Linked DNA regions of Drosophila melanogaster. The gene in region 1 interacts genetically with each later gene. Each region holds a gene or a part of one and is shown on either strand. Other genes may lie near its edges.

The links.
Region 2: of Zip71B (region 1) and ry, changing one suppresses a phenotype caused by changing the other (phenotypic suppression), as found in Drosophila melanogaster (one study listed by BioGRID).
Region 3: of Zip71B (region 1) and Zip42C.2, changing one enhances a phenotype caused by changing the other (phenotypic enhancement), as found in Drosophila melanogaster (one study listed by BioGRID).

What each region holds. Positions count from the first base shown.
Region 1 is NT_037436.4:14,989,300-14,995,592, reverse strand, and holds the start of Zip71B (Zinc/iron regulated transporter-related protein 71B), read right to left. Parts: upstream 3,305-6,293; 5' UTR 3,122-3,304; coding exon 2,978-3,121; intron 1,011-2,977; coding exon 728-1,010; intron 1-727. Other genes in the region: mnd (minidiscs), read right to left, coding at 4,377-4,763, 4,852-5,447, 5,526-5,744.
Region 2 is NT_033777.3:13,029,792-13,036,084, forward strand, and holds the start of ry (rosy), read left to right. Parts: upstream 1-2,736; 5' UTR 2,737-2,974; coding exon 2,975-3,016; intron 3,017-3,826; coding exon 3,827-6,293. Other genes in the region: CG46280 (uncharacterized protein), read right to left, coding at 128-260; l(3)87Df (lethal (3) 87Df), read left to right, coding at 1,191-1,220, 1,291-1,478, 1,544-1,658.
Region 3 is NT_033778.4:6,716,899-6,723,191, forward strand, and holds Zip42C.2 (Zinc/iron regulated transporter-related protein 42C.2), read right to left. Parts: upstream 2,636-6,293; coding exon 1,744-2,635; intron 1,684-1,743; coding exon 1,643-1,683; 3' UTR 1,298-1,642; downstream 1-1,297. Other genes in the region: Zip42C.1 (Zinc/iron regulated transporter-related protein 42C.1), read right to left, coding at 1-778; hlk (hulk), read right to left, coding at 4,693-4,880, 4,947-5,129, 5,190-5,356, 5,410-5,566, 5,630-5,796, 5,854-6,010.

The DNA.
Region 1 (6,293 bases):
CGTTCAATTGTTGTTTTCTTTTGGATTTCCGCATCCATAATGCGTCCGTTTATCGTGCTATCGCCCTGTTTTCGTCGCCTGCTGACAATGATCTTTCCTACCTGTTGATTTACGGCTACATTTACGGCCCAAAAGGAGAAAGAAAAACGCATCTGATACTAAGTATATATACGCACATACATGGTAATGATAATTTATGCGACAAGGCCACGATCACAGACGGAACTTCCTATCAACCAAATGAGATGGGATGGAGGATGGGATGGCATAATTGAATTGATGATAGACCGCAGTCGCCGGTCGCCTTGCACTTGGAAATCGGCCAATTGATGGAAAGAGTCGAGTCAAGTCGAGGGCTTCATCTATTTATACTATATATATATACTATACTTCTGCCGGGCTCAATTTTGTATTGTGCCACAGGTGGCTGGTGTTTTATCATGTATATATGCTTGTTATTAACTGCCAGTCAAGTGAGCTTCAATCCGCGTATTTTTTGGAATTTCTCAGACCTGGTGGATTCTGGAGAACCGGAATAAGTGTTAAAACAAATTATCCTAAGATTTATGACCATGTTGTCTATCCTGGCGTAGCTTAGGTATTATCAGTCATAGCTGATGGTCGGCAAATACATACAGTAATACGGTTGGAAATAAAGTGCGAAATCCCCGACCATTAAGATAAGACTGGTGCACATCTTCATTAAATATTAAACGACGCCACTCACCAGAACTCTCCCTCGGATGTCGGTGCTTGGGGTCATGAATTTCTAGGAACTCCGGAACCTCGGCCTCCGACTGTGAATTTGAGTGATTGCCACGAGGAGAGATTTGCAGCTCCAAAGCTTCCTCATCGGTGGCATTGACTCGTGTCGGCTCAAAGTAATACGTTACATTTGTGGCATGCGGCATCTCGTTCGAGTATCCCTGAGGTCGATGCTGATCGATCGTGTGCGAGGGATCGAATTGGATTTGACCCAAGTTCAGGCTGAACATCAAATGCTCAAGACCCTGGAAAATATTTTAGTTCCTCATTTAATAGGCATTTAAAGCAGCATTACAGCATATTTAGAGAGCACTTAGACGTTATCTGGAAGTTTTCCAAGATACAAAACCAAAGTAAAACAAGTGTGATTAAGGCACACGTTATTGCAAGGCGCAAAATATAAGTAAACTATCTAATGATAAGGACAGATAGCATTATGCTTCAATAATTGTAGACAAACTATTTTCTTTTAACGATAATTAAGTATTTGATAATAGGTATTAAAATAACATTGGCAATGATAAATAGACTTACAAATATCTATGCACAAATTCTCAGAAAGTTTGATAATTCAATAGTTTTAGATAGTTGTGATTTCCCTAAACTATTTAAACAGTAAGTGCAACCTTGAAGTTTTAAAACCCATTTAAAAACAACAATTAATCTCGAAGTAGCTGGAGTAAACGCAACAAAACAACTGCCAGCTGTTTTGTTTTCGGTGAGCGTCCTGAAATCGTTTTTAAAAACAAACCTTAACCTGCTGCACATTTTTCACAGTAGCTATCCACGAAATTTCACGCCGACAAATCGATCGCATTTGCTATTTATTTAACTAATTTGTCAAAGTATATACTCTGGCTGCGATCTATCACCGATAATTACTTGATTTACTTGTCAACGTGCCAGGCAATTATATTTACATCTGAATTCATTTGTTTATTGTTATTCCTCCATTCTGTCGCATATTTGCTGTCGCTAAAGTGGGTGGAGATTCCCCGGGGCGGCGGTGGAGCCCCATCTAATTGCCTCGACAGCGACCTGTCGCCGGGGATCGGGGCGTGTGTCCGGCGTGTGATGAGTGGCTCCAAAGAATTGCCCAGATTCCCAAGATCAGGATGGCGGAATTTGCATATGAACAAACATTAGACACACACGCGCTGGCACACACAAAAAAAAAAAACTATTTATTATGTAGCTCATGAAGCCACCAAATGGCGAATTTTACTTTCATTCAGCTGAGATTTGTTTGTGTGCCAAGTGTGCTATATGTAATCAAATTTGGAATATTAGAATGATGATAGAATACGAGACGGTTGGGTGGGCATGGGACATGAGACATGGGGCATCGGGCATCCAACCCTTAATGTTAGTATGCCGAGTGCGTAAAAAGTAAAAACATTTTTAGTAGCGGCTTGCCATTCAAATGGACACACCGTATTGCGTAGCCCATACGCATGAGTAATGTCAATTGGCTCCGATTGTTCGGAATCGGACGGACTATAGCTTTGGAGTCCATAAGCATAACGATCGCGTTGCGAAAGTTGCGGTTGCTTTTGTATCTTTGGTTTATCGGGCATCCAGTGTGCGCCCATTAGGAGGAGGAGCAAGCAGTCTTATCGGGCTTATCATCTCGTAATCTCCGACGTGGATATAGAAGGATGTCTTGGGCGGGGGGTGGGTGTTGTTCGTCGTGTTGATGCTCAAGTCTCGTACTGTACATCTCACTGTGCCTGTGCTGCTCGTTAGTCTGGATTTTGATTAAATTTATGATAATGCCAGCAATAAAGTCTACGTTTTGTATCATACGAAGTGCCTGCTGTCTGCCCACTGTGTTATAAAATTGCTGCGCGCATATAAAGATTACAACCTTTTAAAAGTGACGCGATAATCGCTGTTGAGAGTGTTTTGGTTGCCCGATCAAGCCGAGTTGGCCAGAACACAATTGTTTCACTTTCACAATGCCCAAATATTTGATTAACTCGTAATCATATGAGAACACCCCCCCCCCTCCCACACATTGTTTTTGTTGCTGGCCCAAAAATGACAAAAACGAGAGAAAAAAAAGAAGACACAAACTCACTAATTTTTTGCCATAACGCTAACCGCAAAAGCTTTGTCCCGTGTCCGACTTTGTTTACCTGTGTTTACCTGTGCTCAAATTACGCTCTTGTGTGTGTTTACAAGGCTAGTTCGATGGTTTATTGGTTATTACCTCAAAGTTGATTGTCCCGCCGTTGCCGTATTTTTGAAATATCTGCGCCACGTATTTGTTGTATTCCGTGGAAGCTGGCACTGTTTTGAAAAATAGTGAGCCCAGGCAAAATAGGTTTAAGACTAGCACCTGCTTTTGGGCCATCGTAATGGACTGAACACTCAGGTGGTGGTAGATAGTATTTCTCTTTTCGTTTTATTCTATTCGTTTTATTGAACCCGGTTATCTACTGGTCACTCGTCATTTCACTGGGGGCTTCACCGGGATTTTTTCGAGTTTTTACAGACGCGTGCGATCCGTAACACTGCAGCCAACTACCGATCCCGTTCAACGGTCTTTTGAAATGACAGTTTCGCCCACGCAACGTTTTATACGACTTTCGGTTCGACGAGCGTCGGCGCGTTCTCCTTTCTCCCTCTCTCCTTCGCCCACTGGGCGGGCAACTCATCGCTCTGCGCACTCGCTACAAACTTAACTGTCATTTGGATTGAGCTTTGGAAAAGCTTTCGCCGGACCATCAAATTTGAGCGCCAAAAATTAATAAAGTCGATTAACCTGTTCATCGGCTAAACTCACATTAAATAGTGTACTCAGCCTTTAAATTGAAAATACTAAAGTTTTACACTTTCCTTTCATAATCTTAAGAATCTGGCTAAATGTTATTATTAAGCAACAATACTTTATACTAAAAACTATCCGGTAGATTGTAACTATGAAGAAAAAGATTGCATACCTAAAGGCGTTGTAAAGGCGCTTTCATCAAGTAGTGAGTTTTAGAACTCGCTGGAGTAGGAAAAATAACTAGAAAATGAAAATATTTAAAAAAATTAATAAATATTGTGGTAGATAATTATGATACTTTAAATAGATACCATGCGAAATGATATAAGTTACTTTTTTACCTTTAAAATGCCAATTTCCGCCCACTTCACAAAAAGTAATAAGATTAAAGTTTAATGTGTTTATTATTAACTTTCTTATACAAAACAAATTCGATTTTTTACATTTCGCAAAAAGTTGCATCAATAATAATTATTACTTACTGAATAAGCTCCTAATTACTTGTATAATATGTAAAAATTGGTTCGCATTTTGTATAACAGGCGTACTTCTGCTTTCGACGAGGAACTCATTTTTTTTGGGTTTGAAATATACATTAAAAGTACGACTAACAAATAATATTAATTGAAGCAGGGACTTCCCTACCAGAATGCATTTGAGTTATTTACAATAACACTTTTGTAATGTTGTGCGTAGGTTTTCAAAATTTCGCGTTGCTAACCTATCTTAGGGGTAAATTGAGACTTATCCTAACTACAAGATATTCCCTTCTATAGTTGCGTTGATCGATACATCCACAAAAGGCCCTCTCTTCCCAAAGTCGTAGAGTCCTGCAGTCCTAGTCGAACTTCTCCTGGTTGGGCATACAGATGAAGAATTTGGAGCACCACAGGTTGATCGCCTGCGAAGTGTCCGCCAGCCATTTGACCGGTTTGTGGATGGTCAGGTAGTAGACCGGAATTCCAGACAGTATAATGATCGTCCCGATTCCTACCACATATGGCGTCTGCGTGCAAGAGAAGATGACCAGGAACAGGCAGACGATCAGATAGATGATGGGCAGCGCCAAGTTGACCTTGATGGGTCGCTCCGTCTTGGGTTGCTTGTAGCGCATCCACAGCAGTCCGGATACCGAGATCAGCGTGAACAACGCCTCCACGTAGCTGACGTAGTTGATTAGTACGTAGACGTCCTCGATGAACAGCAGCAGCAAGGTGAGCACGCCCTGGGAAATTAAAAAAAGAAAAGAACATGATAATTTGATAAAAACAAATATTTATAGATTCTTTACTTAGGTTAAGCCTCTAACTTACCAGGAATATCAGCGAGGGCACAGGTGTCAGGCAATTAACGTTAATCAGCGAAATGGCGGCCGGCAGGTGACCATTCCTTGCACCGACGAAGAAAAGTCGCGAGGACGCGAAGATCGCTCCATTCAGCGAACCAAAAGTGGAGCAGGCCACAGCGAAGGGCATAATCCAGGACATATACCCCAGCATCTTGTCGCCAAACGTGACTGCCACTGCATCTGACGAAAGGATCTCGTCTGGCGAGAGAACCGAAAAGTATGCAATATTCGTGATCATATAGATGACCGTGACCACCGGCATTGAGATGCAAATGGCCTTGGGCAGGTTTCGGTACGGATCCTTGAGCTCCTCTGTTACAAAGTTCAAATAGTTCCAGCCGGAGTACGAGAAGAGGCCGCTATAGAAGGCCAGGGCTATATATCCAGGATCTTGAAGGCCTCCCGAGAAGGGATTATCCCAGTGCTCTGTGTTTCCATCGAACAACCACCAGACTCCGGCGCCAACGATCACCAGGAGGGCAACCACCTTGGTGCCCGTAAAGATGTCCGTCACACGCGTAACCCACTTAACATTATAGCAATTGATAAGCGTCAGCACACCTAGGGTGGAAGATCAAGCAATTAGTCAATATAGTCTATGCCTAGTCTCACCACCGATTAGCTATCAGCGAATCTTACATATCATGGCAGCCGCCAGCAGCTGAACAGCTTCAATGGGCGCGTCGCAGGAAGGCCAAAAAGGTTTCAGCAGATATATGGCAAAAGTCAGAGCCGTAATCGCATTGCCCGTGGGCACCAGGATCAGCAGGGCCACCCACAGATAAAGGAACGCAGGCAGAGGACCAAATGCAGTGCCTATATAGGCATAATCTCCGCCTGATTTGGGTATCATCGTGCCTGGAAAAGTTAAAATATTAGTTATAGAAGAAAATTTGCTCATTACGGCGTAGTTCACGGGGAACATCCCAAGAGAATAATGTTTAAAAAGTGATTAGGCTAATAGAGAGCAAACGTTGACAATCTGATAAGCATGACACAGTTCTGAAAATGCTTTGAGGTATGCATTTGCCTATCTAAGGAGGGTTGTTCCAGCAATTGGAGAAATTTTGGAAACGCTTAAAAAGCGTGTACTAACTATTCCATTTTTTACGACCATCCTAGTAATTGGTGATAATTTTATTTTATTTGCTCTGTCCATTCACTTCATTAAGATTTATGGAACTTTATTTAGTACTTAAATAGTTTGACATGAAAAGTTAGAAAAAGGTAGCATAAATATTTGATTTTCAAAAATATGTTCAAACATTCTGATCAGATCAGATTGAACTTCCATTGATATTTCGAAAAGCAAACTTTAAAAATTATGCTAATTTGTGTCTGCCGAAAATGTATGGTAATGAGTGTCTGCCTGGCTGATTGTTAAAAAAAAACGTGTTTTAATAATGA
Region 2 (6,293 bases), on another chromosome or scaffold:
TTTTCCGACCGCTGAAACTTTTCTGCTTTCGAGGAGAACGGGTGATTCTCCTGGAAGACGTGGCCCTCCGTTCGCGGATCTCTGCTACTCAGGATCTTGAGGGCTTTGTATAGGTTTGGATGCTTACCATTGCACGACTTGTAGGCCGTGGTGGACAGCTGGTGATCCAGGGCGCTGTCGTAGAAAGTGTTGTCGCCCACATAGATGCTGTTTCTCTTGTCCGGCGAGGATTCAAACGACGTGGAGGCGGATACGTCCATGGTCGTGTTCAGTTGGGTCAGTTGGAGGCCTGGAAGAATCGGTTGCTAGTGGAAATTCGGTTTCGGTTGCTGGCGAGGCGACGTTTAAACATCTGGCGAAGAACTGTGGAGTACCCAGAGTTGAAGAGCGATTATCAGAGACATGTATATAGATAATACGTTTGCCTTACTCTCTGCAAACTGCAAATTTGTTTTACTTTTCTGCCTACGTGTCGTACATTGCCAGTTGATTATGTTCAGTCGGGTTTTCTCGACTGACTTTAAAGTCTGCGCCACACACGCACACACATTTGTGCTCCACATATTTGCCTTAGAATTTGTGTAATTCACCTGGGCATTCTGTGTTTTCTTAATTTACTCACCTGAAAATTTGTGTTTAGTGTGGGTGTTGTTGCACTGCTGGATGTTTGGGGCACATTGGCAGAGGCCTTAATTGACGACTGTCTGCTGATTGAAAACTCAATTTGATTGGCGCTGATTACGTTTTTGATTCAATGCGTGCTCTTAATTTAAATAAAAACCCAAAAAACTAAAGAAATTAAATTGTGATTAAATTCTTCTTGCTAGCGTCGACCAGTGTTGCCTAATGCTTAAAATGCAATTATAAGAGCGACTCTAGTGCAAGAAACGAGTAATCGATTCTGGTTCGATAGGCAACGACTTCGATAAGGCGCAAATTAAACTAGTTGTAAAGGTTTTACGCTATATGTTGTATGCAAGAAAATCAACATAATTTAGCTATAAATATAGGCTACACTTATTTTTAATTATAAGTCCAAATTTCTTAGTGCATAGGAGTGGAATAACTAATTTTATATCAGTTTTTGGAATGCCCCTAACATGTCCGTGGTATTATTATTTAGTAACGTCAGGGTCACACTTTTGTTTTGTTTTGCTTTGCAACTTGACTTTTAAAATTGCAATTGCAGCATGGCCGAAGAACCCGAGGAACCCGCCAAGGTATGGATTACATAAATCTATTGGACATCAGGTGCCTGATTAAGCTTTAACTATGTTTAATCTCCCATAGAGCTTCGTTATCTTCGGACGCGATGTGGCGCAGATCCCGTGCTTTCGTAACAGTTTTCTCTACGGAATCAGCGGAGGAATCGGCATCGGCTTGCTGACTTTTCTGGGCACCTCGCGAACCCACCTGTCCACCCACGTGGGCTTCGGCTCCTTCTTCTGCGGCACCATCGCCTACTGGATGACCTGCAGGTAAGTGACTGTGATTAAAACCGTGCGGCGCCCTTATCACTTAATTATCAATGTGGCATCCGCAGGTATCAATGGTCCGTCAGGAGATTCGAGCAGCAGCAATTGCGTGAGGCGATGAGACGACAAGCCCTTTATGAGGGCACCCAAAGGGAGAGAGACTTAGATCTGAAGTCGGCGTAGCATAAGTCAGATCCTTCATTACTACTTCGATGTTTGTTTTCACTCTAGGATACCAAGTAATCCTGGCATTGTTAAATCCCTTGTGTTGTAAACTACCTTTTGTTACCAAACTTTATAGTAGCCAATATATTATATATATGTTGTAAGTGAAATCTTAGCTTGCCACTCGTAGGGAATTAATTATGCCACCATCTTTGATTTGGGATTGACAGAAATCAATCCATCATTTTAATGATTGTGGTTCCTAAAACCTGTTGGGCTTTATTGTGCTTTCGATTTGATTTAAGCTGATAGAGCTAGTTGTTTACTTTTGAAGAACCTTGAACCCATTTTGACGACCTTTTAACTTTTTAATAGTTTTTTTTTACCATTTACATAAAAGCAAAATTTACAGTCTAAAAGTTGTATATTCAATACGTTCTGGTACGTAAAAGGGTTATTTAATGCACCATTTTTACAACTTTAGATAGTATACTTTTTACTTGAGTGGGAGCCATATCACAAAAATGAAATGAAAGGTTAAAAAAGTATCTAAAAGTAAGTTTCAATTAATATTCTGAAAAATAATTGCATTTCATGTACGTTTCTCTGAAATACCCCTAATTCGATACTATTTATAAATCTGGAAGATATATAGCTAGGAAATAGATTTATATATTTGCCTAGTTTGAACACCTTGTGAACATTTTGTTTAAAAAAAAAGCGTATCGTGGTACTAGAAAACTTTAAGATACAGATAAATAACTTCACTATACCGAGGTTTTGGTGTTTCTTGAGACTGAAGGACAATCTTCAAAATGGTCTTAATTCTTGAGATAGAAAAGCTGCAGTTCTCATGCTGAATAGTGATCAGTACGATTTTATCTGACAGATTGCTTTCCTAGCTGACCACACCGATCTCGGATGGGTATCTGCTCTAATCCGAGATAGCAGGTAGTAGAACTGCTGCCTCGTAACCCCTAGACATGGCCATTTCCACGCACATGTAGGCGATCCTGCACTCGTCGGTCGCTCGTCTTATCTCACAAAAATAAAAGTCGGCGTTTGGATGGATTGCTCGGCTGGCTGTTGGCACATTCATTACGTTTTCGTTGACGGCGCGAGACGGTTGTGTTGTTTTTTAATCGGCGGGCACATGAGGTTGTCGGTTCTCTAATTTTGAAATAAAAAACTTGTTTTCGCTTTACATTCAAGGAACGCACCTCCTCCCCTCCATATATGTAAACGAGCTTCGTAATTGCAGGCTAACACTTATATAGGCATTGGTACTGAGATACAGCGAGATACCGTGAGCTACAGATACATAGCACTTCACGATGTCTAACTCGGTTTTGGTGTTTTTCGTGAATGGAAAGAAGGTACTTAAAGATACTCGGATGCCTTGCGTGTCTTTCCTTAAAGTCGGCCCACTCCTACTATATCGATTCCCTTTATTGTTTTATTGCCCTAATTGCGTTTAACTGGCATTCGATGGAATTTGCCTTCTTGCTCAATTGAATGTGTCGAATGTATATAGTATTTGCTGTGCATATAGTGATAACAATTGACCCCCATGTGAAGCCTCGTTGTTTGCTGGTGGCCCCTTATCGCCCGATCAAGATGGTGCACTTGCCAATCGCGCATGGGAGCAGTGCTACTCGGATGTGGGTGAGCTGGGATCGTCATGGGCATTTGTGTCTGCCAGATAGCCAGGCCCTCTAATCCGCACATTCCCACCGGCTGTGCGGTGTTTACAATCCAGTGAGCTCGGCTGGATTATTCAGATAAAGCTGGCCATATTTAGCATCTGGTGTTGGTGGAGTGCAGTTGGAGTTCTTTACTTTGTGCTCACAGCTTGCGCACAAGTGAAGTAAATAATAATAAATAACCAGTTGCTCGTGCGCCCGGCATTTGATAGTGATAGATAGCAATCTCTGTTTGCTCAGGGCTGGCAGAGCAGATAACACTTTCGCTGTTTTAAGTTTAAACAAAGTCACAGTTTTGACAAACAATTGCTTTAAACCATATAAACTTATAATTATAGCAATTATAATTAAGTAGGTACAGATCTTAAAGCTACAAGATACAAGATACAAATTTTCCCATTAATGGATAAATGGCATTAGATACTTTTGGGAAATTGATTTCGTTTTTTTCATTTTATTATATTTATACATTTCTTATTCCAGGTGACCGAAGTGTCGCCTGATCCGGAGTGCACGCTCCTCACATTCCTGCGCGAAAAGCTGCGGCTGTGCGGAACGAAGTTGGGATGTGCGGAAGGCGGATGCGGCGCCTGCACCGTGATGGTGTCCCGCCTAGACCGTCGGGCCAACAAGATACGTCACCTGGCGGTCAACGCCTGCCTGACGCCAGTGTGCTCGATGCACGGATGTGCGGTGACCACTGTGGAGGGTATAGGGAGCACCAAAACGCGTCTGCATCCGGTGCAGGAGCGACTGGCCAAGGCGCACGGATCCCAGTGCGGCTTCTGCACGCCGGGCATTGTGATGTCCATGTACGCACTTCTGCGGAACGCGGAGCAACCCTCTATGCGAGACTTGGAGGTGGCATTCCAAGGTAACCTGTGCCGCTGCACCGGCTATCGACCCATTCTCGAGGGCTACAAGACGTTCACCAAGGAGTTTGCCTGCGGAATGGGCGAGAAGTGCTGCAAAGTTAGTGGGAAAGGATGCGGAACCGATGCGGAGACCGATGACAAGCTCTTCGAGCGCAGCGAATTCCAGCCCTTGGATCCCAGCCAGGAACCCATCTTCCCACCGGAACTTCAGCTGAGTGACGCCTTCGATTCTCAGAGTTTGATCTTTAGTTCGGATAGGGTGACCTGGTATCGTCCCACCAATCTGGAGGAGCTGCTTCAGCTGAAGGCCAAACATCCGGCTGCCAAGCTGGTCGTGGGCAATACGGAAGTGGGCGTTGAGGTTAAGTTCAAGCACTTCCTCTACCCGCACCTCATTAATCCCACCCAGGTGAAGGAGCTGCTGGAGATCAAAGAGAACCAGGATGGCATTTACTTCGGTGCGGCTGTCAGTTTGATGGAGATCGATGCGCTTCTGCGGCAGAGAATCGAGCAGCTGCCGGAATCGGAGACCAGATTGTTCCAGTGCACCGTGGATATGCTTCACTACTTTGCCGGCAAGCAGATCCGCAACGTCGCCTGTTTGGGTGGAAACATCATGACCGGTAGTCCCATTTCCGATATGAATCCTGTGCTCTCGGCAGCAGGAGCTCAACTGGAGGTGGCCAGTTTTGTGGATGGAAAGCTCCAAAAGAGATCAGTTCACATGGGAACTGGGTTCTTCACTGGCTATCGCAGGAATGTTATCGAAGCCCACGAGGTGCTGCTGGGCATCCACTTTCGGAAGACCACTCCGGACCAGTATATCGTTGCTTTTAAGCAGGCCAGGAGAAGGGATGATGACATAGCCATCGTAAATGCCGCAATAAACGTTCGCTTTGAGGAAAAATCCAACATTGTGGCGGAGATCTCGATGGCTTTTGGTGGAATGGCACCAACCACAGTGCTCGCTCCTCGAACTTCCCAACTGATGGTTGGGCAGGAGTGGAGCCACCAGCTCGTGGAGCGCGTGGCGGAGAGCTTGTGCACGGAGCTGCCTTTGGCTGCCTCCGCTCCGGGTGGCATGATCGCCTATCGTCGAGCTCTGGTGGTGAGCCTGTTCTTCAAGGCCTATCTGGCCATTTCCCTGAAGCTGAGCAAGTCAGGGATCACATCTTCCGATGCTCTGCCATCGGAGGAGCGAAGTGGTGCCGAGACATTCCACACACCAGTACTCAAAAGTGCCCAGCTCTTCGAGCGCGTCTGCAGCGATCAACCCATCTGTGATCCCATTGGGAGACCAAAAGTTCATGCGGCTGCTTTGAAACAGGCCACTGGTGAAGCTATCTACACAGATGACATTCCCCGCATGGATGGTGAAGTTTATCTGGCCTTTGTCCTTAGTACCAAGCCACGTGCCAAGATCACCAAGCTGGATGCCAGTGAAGCTCTGGCCCTGGACGGAGTGCATCAGTTCTTTTGCTACAAGGACTTAACGGAGCACGAGAACGAAGTGGGACCCGTCTTTCATGATGAGCACGTCTTTGCTGCTGGAGAAGTGCATTGCTATGGTCAGATAGTGGGCGCCATAGCTGCCGATAATAAGGCGTTGGCCCAAAGAGCCGCTCGGCTAGTGAAAGTGGAGTACGAGGAGCTGAGCCCGGTTATCGTGACCATAGAGCAGGCCATCGAGCACAAGTCCTATTTCCCGGACTACCCTCGATTCGTGACCAAGGGCAATGTGGAGGAGGCTTTAGCCCAGGCGGATCACACTTTCGAGGGCACCTGTCGAATGGGCGGACAGGAGCACTTCTATCTGGAGACCCATGCTGCATTGGCGGTACCTCGTGACAGCGATGAGCTGGAACTCTTTTGCTCCACGCAGCATCCCTCGGAGGTGCAGAAGCTAGTGGCCCATGTAACCGCACTTCCTGCCCACCGTGTCGTCTGTCGTGCCAAGCGTTTGGGAGGCGGTTTCGGCGGCAAGGAGTCCAGAGGCATCTCCGTGGCCCTACCCGTTGCCCTGGCCGCCTATCGAATGGGTCGTCCTGTGCGCTGTATGTTGGATCGCGATGAGG
Region 3 (6,293 bases), on another chromosome or scaffold:
TGGCCAGCGAACTGCGTGTGCGGGCGACCAGAAGCTCCATACCCACGCAGAAGGCCAACACCAACTTGTGGGCGGAGACCGCTCCAAACATGAACCACACAGTGCTCACAGTGCCCTCCAGACCAATGGCCATGCCCTCGAACAGTTCGTGGAGCGAAAGGGCGAGGATAATGCCCAGCCCCCTGGCAGAGGATCCATCGTCCGCTGGCACGGGCATGTGCGAGTGGCCGTGGTGATCCTTGTGTGGCTGCGGTTCCGTATCCTTAACTTCCACTTCTTCCTTCGCCTGTGGATTGAGGAGAACACTGTGACGAATGCTGCGTCCTCTTTCGAAAGCCAGACTGGCCACCGACTCTTTCCGACTAAGCTTTCCCTGGTGGTGCCGCACGAGGCTGGTCATCAGCTCGTCCAACGCGTACATCAGGAAAAAGCCCGTGCACAGCAGCATCTCCGCCAGAGCGAAGGGCGTCTTGACAAGCGAGCCGCATTCCTGGAGCGCTTCCACCACCTCGATCACCTCGGGCAGCATGTGCAGGAAGGTGGTGCAGATGAGCACACCGCCGCCGAAAAAGAGTAGGCACCGCACCACCAATGACGAGCGGGTTTCCTCCGGACTCGCCTTCGTCCAATGGAAGCACCTGTTCAGGACGTAGGGAAGGCTGCCGCAAAGCACGGTGATCACCACGAGCACCACCATGGAAACTATTTTGGCCACCAGCAGCGCATGGTGATCCACGTCTTGCGTTTGCTCTTGTGACATAGTTGCGGTAGCGCTCATCTTCACCTCCCGAGTTGATAGCTTCGACTGTGCTGGCTGGAACTCACAACCAGGCTAATGGTTTATATTTCCAGTCATATATCAGCGGGAGCCGATTGAAATCTGATCGCTGATTGATACGCGGATTCACTGGCAGACAGCGGGCAAGCCTCGCAGCCTAGTATTGTTATCAATTCGCCGTCCCCTGGACAGGTGTCTCTCGTCGGCCCACCGATAACCGAACCATAGCCGTCTGTTCTTTGCGAATTTTATGATTGAGGGAAGTTTCGTAATGTGCAGGAACTTCGGAAGTATTTCCCGAATATTATTATTATTGATACACTGAGATAATTTATTTGTCCATCCAAGGCGGTCTCATCTTAGGTTTATATGGTAAGGATTGCAGGCATGGAATTAAAATCGCAGCACATTTTTTAAAAAGTTAAAAAGATTCTAGCCATATATGTAAATATTCTTGACCAGGATCAGATGATTTCGCCACGCTTGTTTTTTAATTTTACTAAATTTGTTTATAAAATAAATTTACATTTATCAAAATAAAGGTGTGATAAATGCAGAAACTTCCATGCCAAAAGTTGTTCGAATCGGATCATTTATTTAAAAGTTATGGGCAATTTGGTAATTAGTATGTAGCAACCGGTAGGTGGAGCTAATGTGCGCACTCGGAGAATGTCCTTTTGTTGATGCCACTTATAAATTTCCCTCGCAGAAGGGCGTTTAAAGGGTATCTCATGGTCGATGACCTGACCTTGCCGTCCTCTTTCCCCATATTTATAAAGCCAAAAAGCCCACGCTTTATTTTTCGGTAGTTTCTTTGAATTTCTCTATAGGCTTAATTGTTTTCATATAAAATTCGAGTATACCCTAGGGGCATGTGAAATGGCTCTTCCCTTTGGCCTCTCCAACTGAAATAATAAGAGTGGTAATTTGGTTTTTCAGTCATTTGGGCTTTTTAGTATGCTTACTTGCTATCTGGAGGCCAAACATCAGGACGAATCCCACCATCGACGAGAGTAAAATGCGTATGCCGGCATGGTTTTTGGCCACAATTTCAAAGAAGACCACGTAGATGAGGGTGCCACAGGCCAGCCCCTGGAGGATTCCTGATACCGTGCTGGGCTGATTAGCCGCGGCAGATTCGCTAACTGCAATTCCGATGCCCACGCCAATCGGAGTTACGATCGAGAAGACGAGGAGGTAAACCACGGCCAGCAGCCAGCGGGTATGGGCCATCATGATCTCCATGCCGATGCAGAAGGCCAGAACAAGCTTGTGGACGGAAATGGCTCCGGTCATGAACCACACCGTGCTCACACTCATCTCCAGGCCAATGGCCATGCCGCCGAAGAGTTCGTGCAGGGAGAGGGCCACGATTATTCCGAGGCCACGCAGCCAGTTGGGCTCCTTGGGGCTTTCTTCTGGCTGGACCACAATCTCTGTCCGCAGCTCCTCGCCCGCATCCTTGATCGTGACCACCTCCCGTAGCTTCCTTTGCTGCCGCCGACGAACCACAAAGTGCATGGTTTCCTCAATGCAGTACATCAGATAGAAGCCAGTGCAGAGCAGAACCTCCGGCAGGCCGAAGGGAGTGGGGGCCAGCATGCGGCAGTCCTGGAGAGCGTTCACCACCTCGACCACCTCCGGCAGCATGTGGATGAAGGTGGTGGCTATGAGAACCCCTCCACCGAAATTAAGCAGACACAGCACCACTTTGAATTCGCGAGCATTGTTCTCGGGCCTCTGGGTCCACTTGTAGAAGCGATCCAGAAGATAGGGAATAAAGCAGAAGATCAGGGTAACGAGGAAGAGCACCACTATGGCCACGATCTTGGCCACGATTAAGTGTTGGTCTACCATTGCAAACGGAGTAACTGGCCCGATATCAAGCCATTCACTTTTTATAGTGGAATTGATATCTATTCAGTTAGTGGAAGGTATCGGCGAATTGTCGAATATTTACACATATTAAGGGCTTAGTGGTTTCGACTTAAGTTGGCCGAGCAATGTGCTTTAGCGAAAGGTATACGGCAAAATTTCGGCATGATATCTTTCGGTCATTATCTACCTTTCGATTTAACACATTTTGCCACATTAGCCATTATTTCCCTGGCTCCCAGCATGAGCTCATCGGTCTGTTTTGCCGCATTAGAATGTCAGTGGGAGTTTTCAGACTGAAATTTCAGCTGGCGAAAACAAATAATTTGTTGTCAACGGCAGGCAAAGCCTTGTGCACCCAGGAATCTATGTGCTATCACTAGGTTGTGGAGACAGTTTCGCCTGATAACTTCGAAATTGAGATATCACCGCCAAATGCCCCATACTAACATAGTTCGTGAGTCAGATTAAACATGTACCTGTACCTGTAAATATTGTGAAGCAAAGGAAATTATAAAATAAATCACTCGTTGGGTAATCTTTGAATAGTTTTTGAATATATAATGGCGTTATTGCAACGGATAAACGGATAAACTTATTATTTAACCACGAGTTTGGGAGATTACATTTGTCATCGTCCTTTAATTCTAGGCAAGGTTTTGAATTCTTAATATGAGGTATTTCGATTTTTCCATTGACAATCACGTTCTTCTTCTCAAGTACACAACTAAAGTAGCAATTGATTTTACTTTTCTTTGCTCAAACCAACCTGCTGTATGCATTGTTTTTTAATTTAGTTTATTTCTAGTTGTGAATAAAAAGCATAAATAAGATCTCAGAGTAATTACTTACTTCAAGAGAAAAAACCGATAGTAGAGACCAATGGGGTCAGCAAGAGGGTCACGACAAACGACCTGTTTATTTTGAAGACTGAATTTAAAGATAGCAGTCAACCACATAGCAGTCATCTTTTGCATCAATTATTGATTTTCACAAAAAATAGGGTATACAACTTAAACCTTTGAAGGAGAAATGCGATTTTATATGGGTAATTGTTATTTAAGATTTTGCATTCTTAATTAATTAAATTGACCGTTCCATTGATGCCTCTCAAATAAACAACTAAACAAGAGAGAATGCGAAAGTCAATTTTCCCCGATTATAAGATACCTGTTAGTCAGCTAGTGGAAATGCGAAATTTCATCATTTTTCTCGGATATCAATAGATATTGGGGAATGCAAATGTAAAAATTATTTAAAAGTGTGGGAGTGACCGTTTTGGGTGTTTTGTAGGTGAAAAGAGGGCCACCGTGTTTTTGGTATACAGATAAAAATCTAAACATTTTTCAAAAGTGTGGGCGTGGCAGTTTTGTCAAGTACAACCTCTTATTCTACGAGTAACGGGTATAAATATGAAATATATTATTTAATACCATTAGAACAGAACGTCTACGTATTGCCGCGATTGAATTCAAATGATATTGACCATGGACTTTACCTATGCATTATCATGATCAAAATAAGACAAACCCAACGAACAATTTTACATACATCATCCAATAGTTTATTAAGTATCATAGGCCGTAAATAAGTTACTGTAAAAATTATTATTGACATTTATTACACAATATTATGGCGTTTAAATTTAAATTTAACGTAATTACTATGACTTGATAGTGTTCTTCTGTAATTGATTTCCATGATGTACACGGGTGAGAAGACAAATAAATGTGTAAATGTGACATACATGAGTTTTGATATTAATGGAAGCATCAGAGTTTATCAAAGTTATCAAGTTGTCTCAAAAGATATTTCAAAAGCAATGGATTGTCTCCAGACAAGTGGTTTTCATGCGTCTAATTTAGACGATTGGATGACAGTTTAATGTGCATAGATATGCGTGTATTATTGTGACTTTGGATAATCATTTCAAGTTTGGTTCGCTCGCTTTTGTGTGTCTTGTCGAAAACCCTCCATCGTAGTTGACAGCCGTTCAACGTGATTCAGTACATTCTTCCCGATTCCCCAACCCATACCATTCAAGACTGCTTGGGGTGCTGGACAGGAGGCGGTGGCGCCGGCTTGAAGCACTGCAGCAGGAAGGCGGTGTAGACCACAAAGGCCACCGCCAGAGCAATCAGAGCGTACATAAAGATGTTCAGCTCGGGCTGGCGGAAGCGGTTCTTGCGTAGCCACTCCAGCACTTCGTCCTCGGATAACAGATCACCTTGAATGAGAACGAGAATGAGAATGAGATTTCTCCTTTGCTCCCTTCACGTTCCCACGGACATACCCCTATATATGCTGGGAAACCGACGGCGGAAGTAGACCATTGCCGGCAGCTTGGTGACGCCCCATTTCTTGGCATAACGAGAGTCGGCCATCTTGACGAAGGTGATGTCCAGGTTATCCGTCTCGCTGTCGATGTTTTCGAGTTTTTCCAGCGCTGCAGTACTGTCCGGCTGATTGTGTTCGTCTAAGTAAAAGACATGTTTGTACTAATCGAAAAGTGTTTTAGAAAGGATAGTAAACTCACAGAAAAAAACGGCTAAGAACTCATTTTCCTCGAGTAGTTTGTCGAGCATTTTTCGGTTTACTTCTTCTATTTCGTTTTTGATTTCGAATACGTCCTGTGATGTTAGCCAGGTAATCACCTTGTCGTGTTGGTGTAGATCGCCGTCGTAGAGGACGGGCACTTGTTTTCTAAAGTGTTAAAGGGTTAAAAAACTTCACCTATAGTTTTGACTATCACCTACCGGAAATAAACGAGGGAAGGTATATTCACTATCTCGTATTTCTTGGCTGCCTGGATACTAGCAATCTTTACGAAATCAATGCCGAACATGTCTGCCTCACCATCGATCTCCTCCAGCTCTTCCAAAATCTCCTCGCACTCAGCACAATCATCGTCGTCTACATAAGTGTGTGATGAGTTTTTAAGACCATTTTGTAATTCATTCAAGCTGTGATACTCACAAAAGAAAACAACCAATAGAGTGGACTCCGCCATTAGGCGATCCAGCATACGCTCGTTGACCTCCTCGATTTCATCAGCCAGCTCGCGGTTGTCATCATCGATGAGCCATTCCAATACTGATTGCTCGTTCTGAAGATCCCCCTCAAACAGTAATGGGTTTCCATTTCTGCACACAAGTTCAGATGCCTTAGAAGTTTAGTTGATAGGCAATCTTGACACTTACCTGAAATAAACCAACGCCGGGAAAGTCTTGATCGAGTAACGTTTTGCCAGCTGCGGATCCTGGATCTTGACCATATGAATTCCGAACACGTCGCATTCGTCATCGATCAGTTCCAAGCCCTCTAGTATCTGGTCGCATATGTTGCAGTTGATTTTGTCTGCCGAAAATACATGGTAGGTCAGTAGTTACCCAGTAGTAATTAGTGTTTATAATTAGAGCCAAGCTTGAGAATCGGTTAGCTATAGTGTAAGAGGCAAAGAAAACGCCGTAACAAAAAGGTATTCCCGTCCAAACTAAATTCCAGTGAATTCTAGAAATTTGGAACGCAAATTGTTTATCAACAGCAAAGGAAGGGCATGCAGAAATCTCATCATTTAGTTTGGTCGTAATACGATGAAAGCCTGGTTTAGTGCTGTCAGGATTCGATTCTGGGCACAGAA